2 linked regions of the Macaca mulatta genome follow. The protein of the gene in region 1 interacts with the protein of each later gene in a pairwise test. Links are inferred from orthologs where the notes say so. Each region holds a gene or a part of one and is shown on either strand. Other genes may lie near its edges.

What was found.
Region 2: the proteins of SRPK2 (region 1) and ZSCAN9 interact in binary tests that used the Homo sapiens proteins (3 or more experiments, as listed by UniProt). The two-hybrid records come from large-scale screens. The link is inferred for Macaca mulatta from reciprocal best matches to the Homo sapiens genes SRPK2 and ZSCAN9.

What each region holds. Positions count from the first base shown.
Region 1 is NC_133408.1:144,729,078-144,733,435, forward strand, and holds part of SRPK2 (SRSF protein kinase 2), read right to left. Parts: intron 3,377-4,358; coding exon 3,211-3,376; intron 2,018-3,210; coding exon 1,992-2,017; intron 4-1,991; coding exon 1-3. UniProt on the Homo sapiens protein: Serine/arginine-rich protein-specific kinase which specifically phosphorylates its substrates at serine residues located in regions rich in arginine/serine dipeptides, known as RS domains and is involved in the phosphorylation of SR splicing factors and the regulation of splicing.
Region 2 is NC_133409.1:155,135,487-155,140,482, forward strand, and holds the start of ZSCAN9 (zinc finger and SCAN domain-containing protein 9), read right to left. Parts: upstream 3,353-4,996; 5' UTR 3,220-3,352; coding exon 2,581-3,219; intron 2,396-2,580; coding exon 2,263-2,395; intron 1-2,262. UniProt on the Homo sapiens protein: May be involved in transcriptional regulation.

The sequences.
Region 1 (4,358 bases):
TATCTATAACATGTTAAGAAAAGACCACAGGTCAGTTTTCTTCTTTTTAAAGTACCACATGATAGTATAACTGCTAGCAGCATGGCAAATACCAATAAATTCTGCTTTCTCATGCCATATTCTACTAAAATCCCAAACCCAGACAGATCTACTTTGTGGTAAGGCTTACAGTAAAATCAAAGGGAAAGCAGTGCTGACTGATCTCACGTGCTGGGTCTACCACCAGGTCCTACCCTCAAAGGGATAGAGCTTAAATCCAGTAAGTCTTCACCATTCAAACCCTAAGAGAACTGAAGTTTGAAATTCTCTTGGCCTTAAAGGAGAAGCTCCTCTTGCAAGTTTTATTTGCTGCTGTCTATATACAAAGTAACAACATCCCACCTCCTCAATGCCAAAAATGAAGCAGGTGCCTGAGCAGGTGTATGTCACTGTGTGTCTGGGGCTCACATATGAAGCTCTTAGCAGCCAAGACAACATGAATTCTAAGAGATAAGCCTATTCAGCAAAGGGAAAAAAGAAAAAGCCACAGCTTTTGTCTGCCTCCCATCATGGCCACCCGACTTGCCAAGCACTGGCAATGAAAGACTCCAACCTTTCAAACAATCAGTGAACTCAGGCAGCTCAAGCCAGGGAAAAACTATGGGAAACAATCCGGGCGTCTCAGCAGGCCAGGAAGCGTAATTATTACAGCTTCCTCTTGTTCCAGAACTTACATTCCAAATCAAGGGCTGTCTCAGTAAACATAGTGTTTTGCTGTTGTTTTGTTTTTGGTTTATTTTTTCTTTGAGACTGAGTCTCGTTCTGTTGCCCAGGCTGGAGTGCAGTGGTGTGATCTCAGCTCACTGCAACCTCCACTTCCCGAGTTCAAGTGATTCTCATGTCTCACCCCCTCAGGTAGCTAGGAGTACAGGTGCACGCCATCACACCCAGCTGATGATGATGATGATATTATTATTATTGACACGGAGTCTCGCTCTGTCGCCCAGACTGGAGTGCAGTGGCATGGATCTCGGCTCACTGCAACCTCCACCTCCTGGGCTCAAGCGATTCTTCTGCCTCAGCCTCCTCAGTAGCTAGGATTACTGGTGTCCACCAGCACACTCGGCTAGTCTTTGCATTTTTGGTAGAGATGGGGTTTCACCATGTAGGCCAGGCTGGTCTCGAATTCCTGACCTCAAGTGATTCAGTGGCCTCGGCCTCCCAAAGTGCTGGGATTACAGGCATGAGCCACCACACCCAGTATCTAACAAGGACATACAGTTTTGACGGGACCACAAAATAGATCAGTCTCTTTCTTATTTAATATCTGGATGGAAAAAAATTAGAACAACAGCTTCAGAAAAACAGGTAACTTAGCAGCCAATCAGAAATAATGTAAAGTGATTTTGAAATAAAAATACTTCAACTGCATCACCTCACATTTCACTGAACTTGGCCAACGACAGTCCAGAAAATGCATAAAGAAGACAATCTTTGAAAGGCTCTAACTATCCCAACTCTGCAAAGATACGAAAAATTAACAAGACAGGCTGGATGTGGTAGCTCACGCCTGTAATCCCAGAACTTTGGGAGGCCGAGGTGGGCAGATCACTTGAAGTCAGGAGTTCGAGAACAGTCTGGCCAACACGGTGAAACCCCATCTCTACTAAAAATACAAAAATTAGCTGGGTGTGGTGGCGGGTGACTGTAATCGCAGCTACTTGGGAGGCTGAGGCACAAGAATTGTTTGAACCCGGGAGGGGGAGGTTGCAGTGAGCCAAGATGGCACCACTGCACTCCAGCCTGAGTGGCAGAGCAAAACTCAGTATCAAAAAAAAAAAAAAAAACAAAAAAAAATTAACAAGACAGTAAGTCTTACCTATTTGAGGATACACAACTTTTATAAATGTGTTCACCCTTTAAATACACAACTTTTTAATAATTTGAACAACTCAATAATAAATGGTCTCTTTTGACATGGTGCATATAAAGTAGTATGTGTAAGTACTTACAGGTTTCTGCTGTGGAGCCGTACTCACTAAAACAAAATGAAACAAAATCGACATTTAGCAGAAAACAGACACATACCTTCACGTAGGTCATTCGAATTGCAAAGTGAAATAATTATTGTCTTTTAATGGCTATCCAACTTCAAAAACTATTAATCAGAGCTTCTTAATCACAGGAATCTAGAGAAAGTTTATGCACTGAAACAAATGAGTGACTCTTGAAGGCATAGCAGAAGTTGCTCACACTGAGCCATTTCTCTTATTTATCTAAAATGAAATACTAATACATCTCAAAAACAGTCAAGCCCAAAGCACCAACAGATAAGAAAATGGGAAAGAATTCATACATATCACAGTCATTAAACCAAATTTGTTTAAAATATAATGAAATGAACAATTTAGATTAGATGTACATCTATATTTGAAATCTATTTTGCAAGCTTTCTACAATTTAAATCAAATATTGCAGTTGGTATGCAGCAAACAGTCTGGGAATCACATGATTAAACCCCTACACCAGGGCCAAAAGTTTGACAGGCTGGGTCCATGATCTAAACAACACCCTGATGGCAGTAAAGGAGATGTGAAGAGAGCCCCAGGCAGTCCCAGGAGCCTCAGCCCTTTAGTATACATGCTTGCATGACAACACACAAAGGCACAGACCACGGTGTCGAAGAGTGAGAAACACAGTCCACACTTCACTGCACCACCACCCCGACCCCAGCCCAGAAGTAAAAATATCCCAATACTCAGGTCACTTGGTCTTCTTCCCCCACCATCAGGCCTTTTCTAAACTAACTCCAAATCTGTTGATAAAACTCAGATTGACATAGCTATGCTAAATGGACAACAGGAATTACTGTAACAAAACTGAAGCTAGAAAAATATTCTGATGACTAAAGGTCAGCTACAGGAAAGCTGTTACTATGTTCTCCTCTGCAGAGAAGTGGGCAACAGAAAAAAATGTTCAAATATAGATGAAGCAGCAACTACAAATTTAAATGGCCTTTTAAAGGGGGACAAAAGTAAATAATTTTAACATTAAAATATAATGTAGCTGGGGTATTTTCCATTTCAAGAAAAGGGTGCAGTTATTTCCAGCAATTAAACTTTTCCAAAAAGTTCCTTATATGTAACATTTGATTCAGATACCTTCAACAACTGCAACTTTGCAAGCTCACAACGCCCCCAAACTGAAATGAAGCTAGCTCAGCTCCCTCACCTGCAGACCCTGAAGGAGGAGGAGCACCTGCTTTCTGCCACTCAGTGGCCTCAGCTGCCATTCTTCTCACATAGGCATCATCCACACACATCAAGATGTTTTCTGGCTTTATGTCAGTATGAATGATCTTGCACTTACTGTGTAGATAATCTAACCCTTGAAGGACCTGGATATAGTAAAATCAAGAGAGAAGATAAGCTATTAATACTTCATTATATAACTTTTATTTATTTGAAAAACATGTAATACGATGACAAGGTACAAAGTTTGATAAACACAAAAGGATATTTAGTAAAAATCTCCCTCCCATGACTACCTGCATAGGAATCCAGCTCTCCTTTCTATAAGCAACAAATATGTATAATTTCAGAGATTATTTATGCTCATGGAAGCAAATGCATCTACATACAGTTGAACCTTGAACAACATGGGTTCACTTATACCCATATTTTTTCTGCCACCTGAGACAGCAAGACCAACCCCTCAGCCTACTCAACGCGAAGATGATGAGGATGAAGACCTTTATGATGATCTACTGAATATGATCTATCTACTTAATGAATAGTAAGTATATTTTATCTTCCTTATGATTGTCTTAACATTTTCTTTTCTCTAGCTTACTTTATTGTAAGAATATGCTATATAACACGTTAATCAACTGGTCATGTCATCAGTAAGGATTTTGATCAACAGTATGCCAGTAGTCAAGTCAGAAGCCAGATCCGGATTTTCAACTCCATTGGAGGGGGTTGGTCAGTACCTCTAACCCTTGTGCTGTTCAAGCGTCAACTATACATACTTCAATAACAACTATATTCACGTATCATACAATTGACCCCTTTAGGTATAGAATTCAATGGGTTTTAGATGTGCGACTATCACTACTATTTATTTTTTTAATTTTTATTTATTTTTTAATTTTTAATTTTTCTTATTTTTTTGAGACAGAGTCTCGCTCTGTCACCCAGGCTGGAGTGCAGTGCGCGATCTCAGCTCACTGCAACCGCTGCCTCCCAGACTCAAGCAATTCTCCTGCCTCAGCCTCCCAAGGAGCTGGGATTACAGGCATGTACCACCATGCCTGGCTAATTTTTTTGTATTTTTAGTAGAGACGGGGTTTCACCATATTGGCCAGGCTGGTCTCGAAC
Region 2 (4,996 bases), on another chromosome or scaffold:
GAAGAGATGGGCCCCAAGTGGGATTAGTAGTGCCCTTTTGCTCAAACTTCATATTAAATGTGAAATCCATAAGGGAGCTGGGTAGAATATAAAAACTCAGACATTTCCCACCTTTTAATGATTACCATTTATATAACTTTCATGACTTATGAAGCACTTTCAAATATATTATCAAACTGACTCACCACAAAACTCCTTGATGTTATTATCTCATCTCTTTAAAGAACTATAGAAAAATATGGCAAGATACCTATATATGGGTAAACAGACTATAGAGAGAAACATCTGGAAAATATGCAGCAAAGTGACAAGAGTAGTTACCTCTAGGGAGTAGGTAGGATGTGCAGAACTTTCATTTTTTACTATATAAACTTTTGTATTATTTGGATTTTTAAATAATCAGCATTACTTAAAAAGAAACTCAAACTTACCTATTAAATACTGCTTGACTAAGAATTTGAAAAGCTGGAACTTGAATTTGGTCCTTGTAATTTCAAACACTATGTTGTTTTATAATATTGGCTTTACCTAAATTTGTAACACATACCTGCACTGATATTCTACAAGGAGAACTCTACAATCTCTAGATGCCCTCTGGATACTCTCCTACAGCCATAGTAGATGCTTAATAAACACTTGCTGAATGATAGATGGATAGATGAGTGGACAGATGGAAAATGTAGATGTGCTTCTTGGAAAAGGGGGTTCTCAGCAGGGTTCTAGATGCAGTTTGGAAGGTAGAAGAAAAGAAGTGGCTAGAAAATAAAAGGTCCAAGTTCATAGAGAGAGGAAGAAGAAAGAAATTAATTGACTGGAAAGATGCTCATAAAGAGGAAAAATGATATCAGAAGCAATTTTAATCTGATCAAGTCATGGGAGCTACAGGAAGGTCTGCACAGAATTTACTCAACACATACACTTTAATTTAAATTGAGAGATGTGTTCCATGTAACAGAAATCCATAATTGCTAGGGTAAATGAAATAAATAGAAGCTAGAGACAAAGAGGCAAGGGAATTTGCAGCTTTGATACATATGGGGGTAATACGAAACTGAAAACAGCAGAACCTTGCTACAGATTGATTGTCAGAAGATTAACAAAAAGTCAGTAAGAGGGTATGATTTTGTGTGTGGGAAATCAGACAAGCTGGAGATAATTCCTGCAGGGAGGGCTAGAATGGGGAAGCAGCTGACTCAGTCCCAAGTGCTCAGATCTATATCCACAAGGGTGGCCACTGCCACCATTCAGAAGATTACAGAGAAGGAAATGGTAAAGTCTGATTTCACTGGATTCTCTCATACAGTCTGCCACTTACTAAGCATATCTCATATCTTTCTACTGCAACTATGAACCCAAATCAGCAAGGGTGGCAGTGGTGATTTGTGGCAATAGCGACCATGTATTAAGCATAATGCATGCCAGGTGCTTTTCAGAAATTGTTTGTATTTGATGCTCACAATGACTTTCTGAGGTATATACTGGTTATGGACTAAATTGTATTCCCTCACATATGTTGAGGTCCTAACCCTCAATATGATTATAGTTGAAGATAGGGTCTTGAGGGAGGTACTAAAAGTTAAATGAGGTTATAAGGTAGGGCTCTATCTGGTAGGAATGGTATCTGTCCTTATAAGAAGATGAGAGAGCTTCCTCTCTCTCTGTATGCACACAAAGAAAGGCCATGTGAGGATACAGCAAGAAGATGGCCATCTATAAGCCAGGAAGAGGCCTCACCAGAAACCAAACCTGATAGCATCTTGATCTTGGACTACTAGCCTTCAGAAATGTGAGAAAATAAATTTCTGTTAAAGACAACCAGTCTGTGGTATTCTCTTAAGGCAGCGCAAGTAGACTAAACCAAAGCTATTATCAACCCCATTTTGTAGAAGAGGGATCTGAGGTCAAGTGGTTAAGTAATCTGCCCAATACAAGCAGCTTCCATGAGGCGATGCCAGGATCTGAACCTGTCTGTCAAACCTTGAAGTCCATTCTCTGAAGCTGTGCTCCACAGCGATCCCTGAAAGCCTTCCTCATGTATCATGCATCAGAAGTCCAGAGAGCTTCCAGGATGGTACTCAGAGAGAAGTCTGCACACAGGGAGAAGGGTCAAAGATGAGCACACTAGGGTCTAAGAAGCACTGAACATTGCTGCTATCTGGTAAGGAGTCTTTGGATCTCCTGTTTTCCCAGCTCTGGGTTTATTGTTTGTTTTTGCTTGACCAGGTGAGATTCGTTCAACATCAAATAAATGCTGTCCCTCACCTGTCTCTCCAATAGAATGGCACTTCAGAGCAGAGTCACGTGTGGGCTGGGACTGAAGGCTCAGTGGTGTCTGCTCTGCTAGAGGCACCATCTCTTTAGAGAGGACTTCTTGTCTGTGTCTGTGGGTTACCATCTGGAGACAAAAAGACAAGATTTGACTTTTGAAGAAATTAACTATCTGAAATAAACACTTCCAAAAAAGAAGGAAACAGGAAGGAGAGTATTTTGTCACCAATGTCAAGGAGACACAAAGCAGAGGATACAAGGATTCTTGGCATGCCAAAATACACTTTTTTCTCTAGCAAATCTCCCTTCTACCTCATGTTGTGGTTCATCGAGCTCTCTCTCCAGATCCTCCAGCAAAATTACAGCCTCTTCTCCACTCTCTGGACAGTGTTCCCTCACCCAGCCCTGGAGCTCCTTGGGCAGGATGGACAGAAACTGCTCCAGCACCAGCAGATCCAAAATCTGCTCCTTTGTGCTCACATGTGGCCTCAACCACTGGTAGCAAAGTTCCTGGAGTCGGGTAAGAGCCTCCCTTGGTCCAGGGGTCTCTTGGTAGCACAGCTGTCGAAAGTGCCTTCGGAAGATTTCCCTTGCCAGTGGATTATTGCGTTTCAGTCTGGATTCCTGCCTTTGGAGGTGACTTTTTGCTTCCACTTTCATTGTCAGAAGTTCTTCCCATGCCTGGGGAACTTGAACACCCAGGGATAAAATCTCCTTTGAGTTTGTATTCATCTTGACCTTGAACAGCTTAAAAGGTACCCTCCAACTGCAGCTATGCTTCAAGACAAACCTTGGAGGCGCCTGCCTAAGCAGTAAAAATAAATTATTTATATGGAAAAATGACAATAACTGATGACAGAAACTGATAATATAAGCATTTATCATAGGCCCTAAAGCTCTCCTCTGAAAAGTGATTTGGGATGGAAATAATGGAAATATATATATATTCATAATGTGCAAAGAGTATAGGCTTTTAAGTTACCCAGATATGGGTTTTCTTTCTTTCTTTCTTTTTTAAAAATGGGGAATTTCACTCTGTTTCCCAGGCTGGAGTGCAGTGGCATAATCACAGCTCACTGCAACCTCAAACTCCTGGGTTTAAGCGATCCTCCCACCTTGGCTTCCCAAAGTGCTGGGATTACAGGTGTCAGCCACCACACCTGACCCAGACCTAGGTTTTATTCTGATCCTAACATTTACTAATTGTGTGACCTTGTGCCAAGTTTTTAAATCTTCTTTCAGTCTTTGTTTCTTTATGTGAAAAAGAAATAGCAATAATACTTTACAGAGTTCGTGGAGGAAAACAGCCCATGAATTAGGGACTGCACAGATCACTCAGAAAGTCTGAATAAAAAGTTTGAGCTCACTGTATAAACATCAAATTAGAGAAAGAATAAATGGAAATACTATTACTGTCGACTAAATGAATGAACCAACATTTACTTTACTGTTTACTTCAGTTTTCTTAAATTAATCTTCAAAACAACCATTTAAAGTTGGTATTATTTACACTAAATTTACAGAAAGAAAGGCTTGGGTGGATTCCAAGCCCTGGAGCTTTCCACACCGCCCTGCTGCTACTTAAGAGTAACAGTCAACATTGCACAAGTCTACAATATGCTTTCAGATACAAGACCATATTTCATCCTCACAATTACCCACTGAGGTTTTATTGTAATAATTATTTCATTAGATAAGAAATGGAAGCCAGGGAAAGTTAAGTAGATTGCCCAAGGTCAACTTCTTTGTGAGGACAATCCTAAGAAGCCTAAGAAGCCAAAGAAGCCCAAGGGAGAAGTTTTCTCCAGAGACCCGGGCAGCGCCTGAAACCCCGGGGGTGTTCCCAAAATGTGGGTCTCCAAAATGTCAGAAAGCACAGCTCAGCAGCTTAACTGCAGCTTGACAGGCTCTGTGGCAGACATCTGGGGAATCTGAATTGGGAGGTGGAGAGAAGTACAGGGAGCCCCAGAATATGCACCTTTAACGGGCTCCTCAGTGATTTGTATGTATTATAAGGTTTGAGAATCAAAGAACTAAGGAAATCGGGAACTGTCACATTCTGCACTTTGAAACCAGTCCATTCAACGCCCGTTAATTTGCTTTTAGAATCTAGAGGTGAGAGGGTATACGGACTCTCCATCTTGAAGGCTGCCAAAGTCTTAACTGTCCTTAACTTCCTCTCCCGGGGGTTTCTTTCCCTGAGTCCTAAGCCTGTTGTCGTTATTCACCGAGGTGACCCTTTCGCCTCGCAGTCCTCCTACAACCCTTTCTTGTACAATGTCCCCACAGCTGGGGATGACCACCCTGGTCTAGGGGACGCCTGAAGCCGGCCGGCACTGACCGCCGCCCCCTCCTCCGTCTCCCACTTCCCAGAGGCTGAGGTTCACTTTCCACACCCCTTTCCCAGCCCCACCCTCCCCAACACTCCTCCATTCCCGGCCCCCACAGCCAACTCACGAGACCCGGAACGCGCGAGGACGGAGAGGGGGTTACCGGCCCGGGGTTGCTAGGCGCGCTGCACGAACAATGGTCGGGCGGGGAAGATGCCCACCCCTCCTCGAAGGCGGACTAGCAGAGGCACTTCCGGGCCGGTCTAGGATTCCGTGTCTCGTTGTCCGGCGTCCACCTTGCCTCGGGCTCAACCCCTAATTTCCTGGCGTCCAGTTCTTTTTCAGCAGTGAATCACATAAACAGAATGTCATACGTGTATGGGCCGCACACAGGTTTT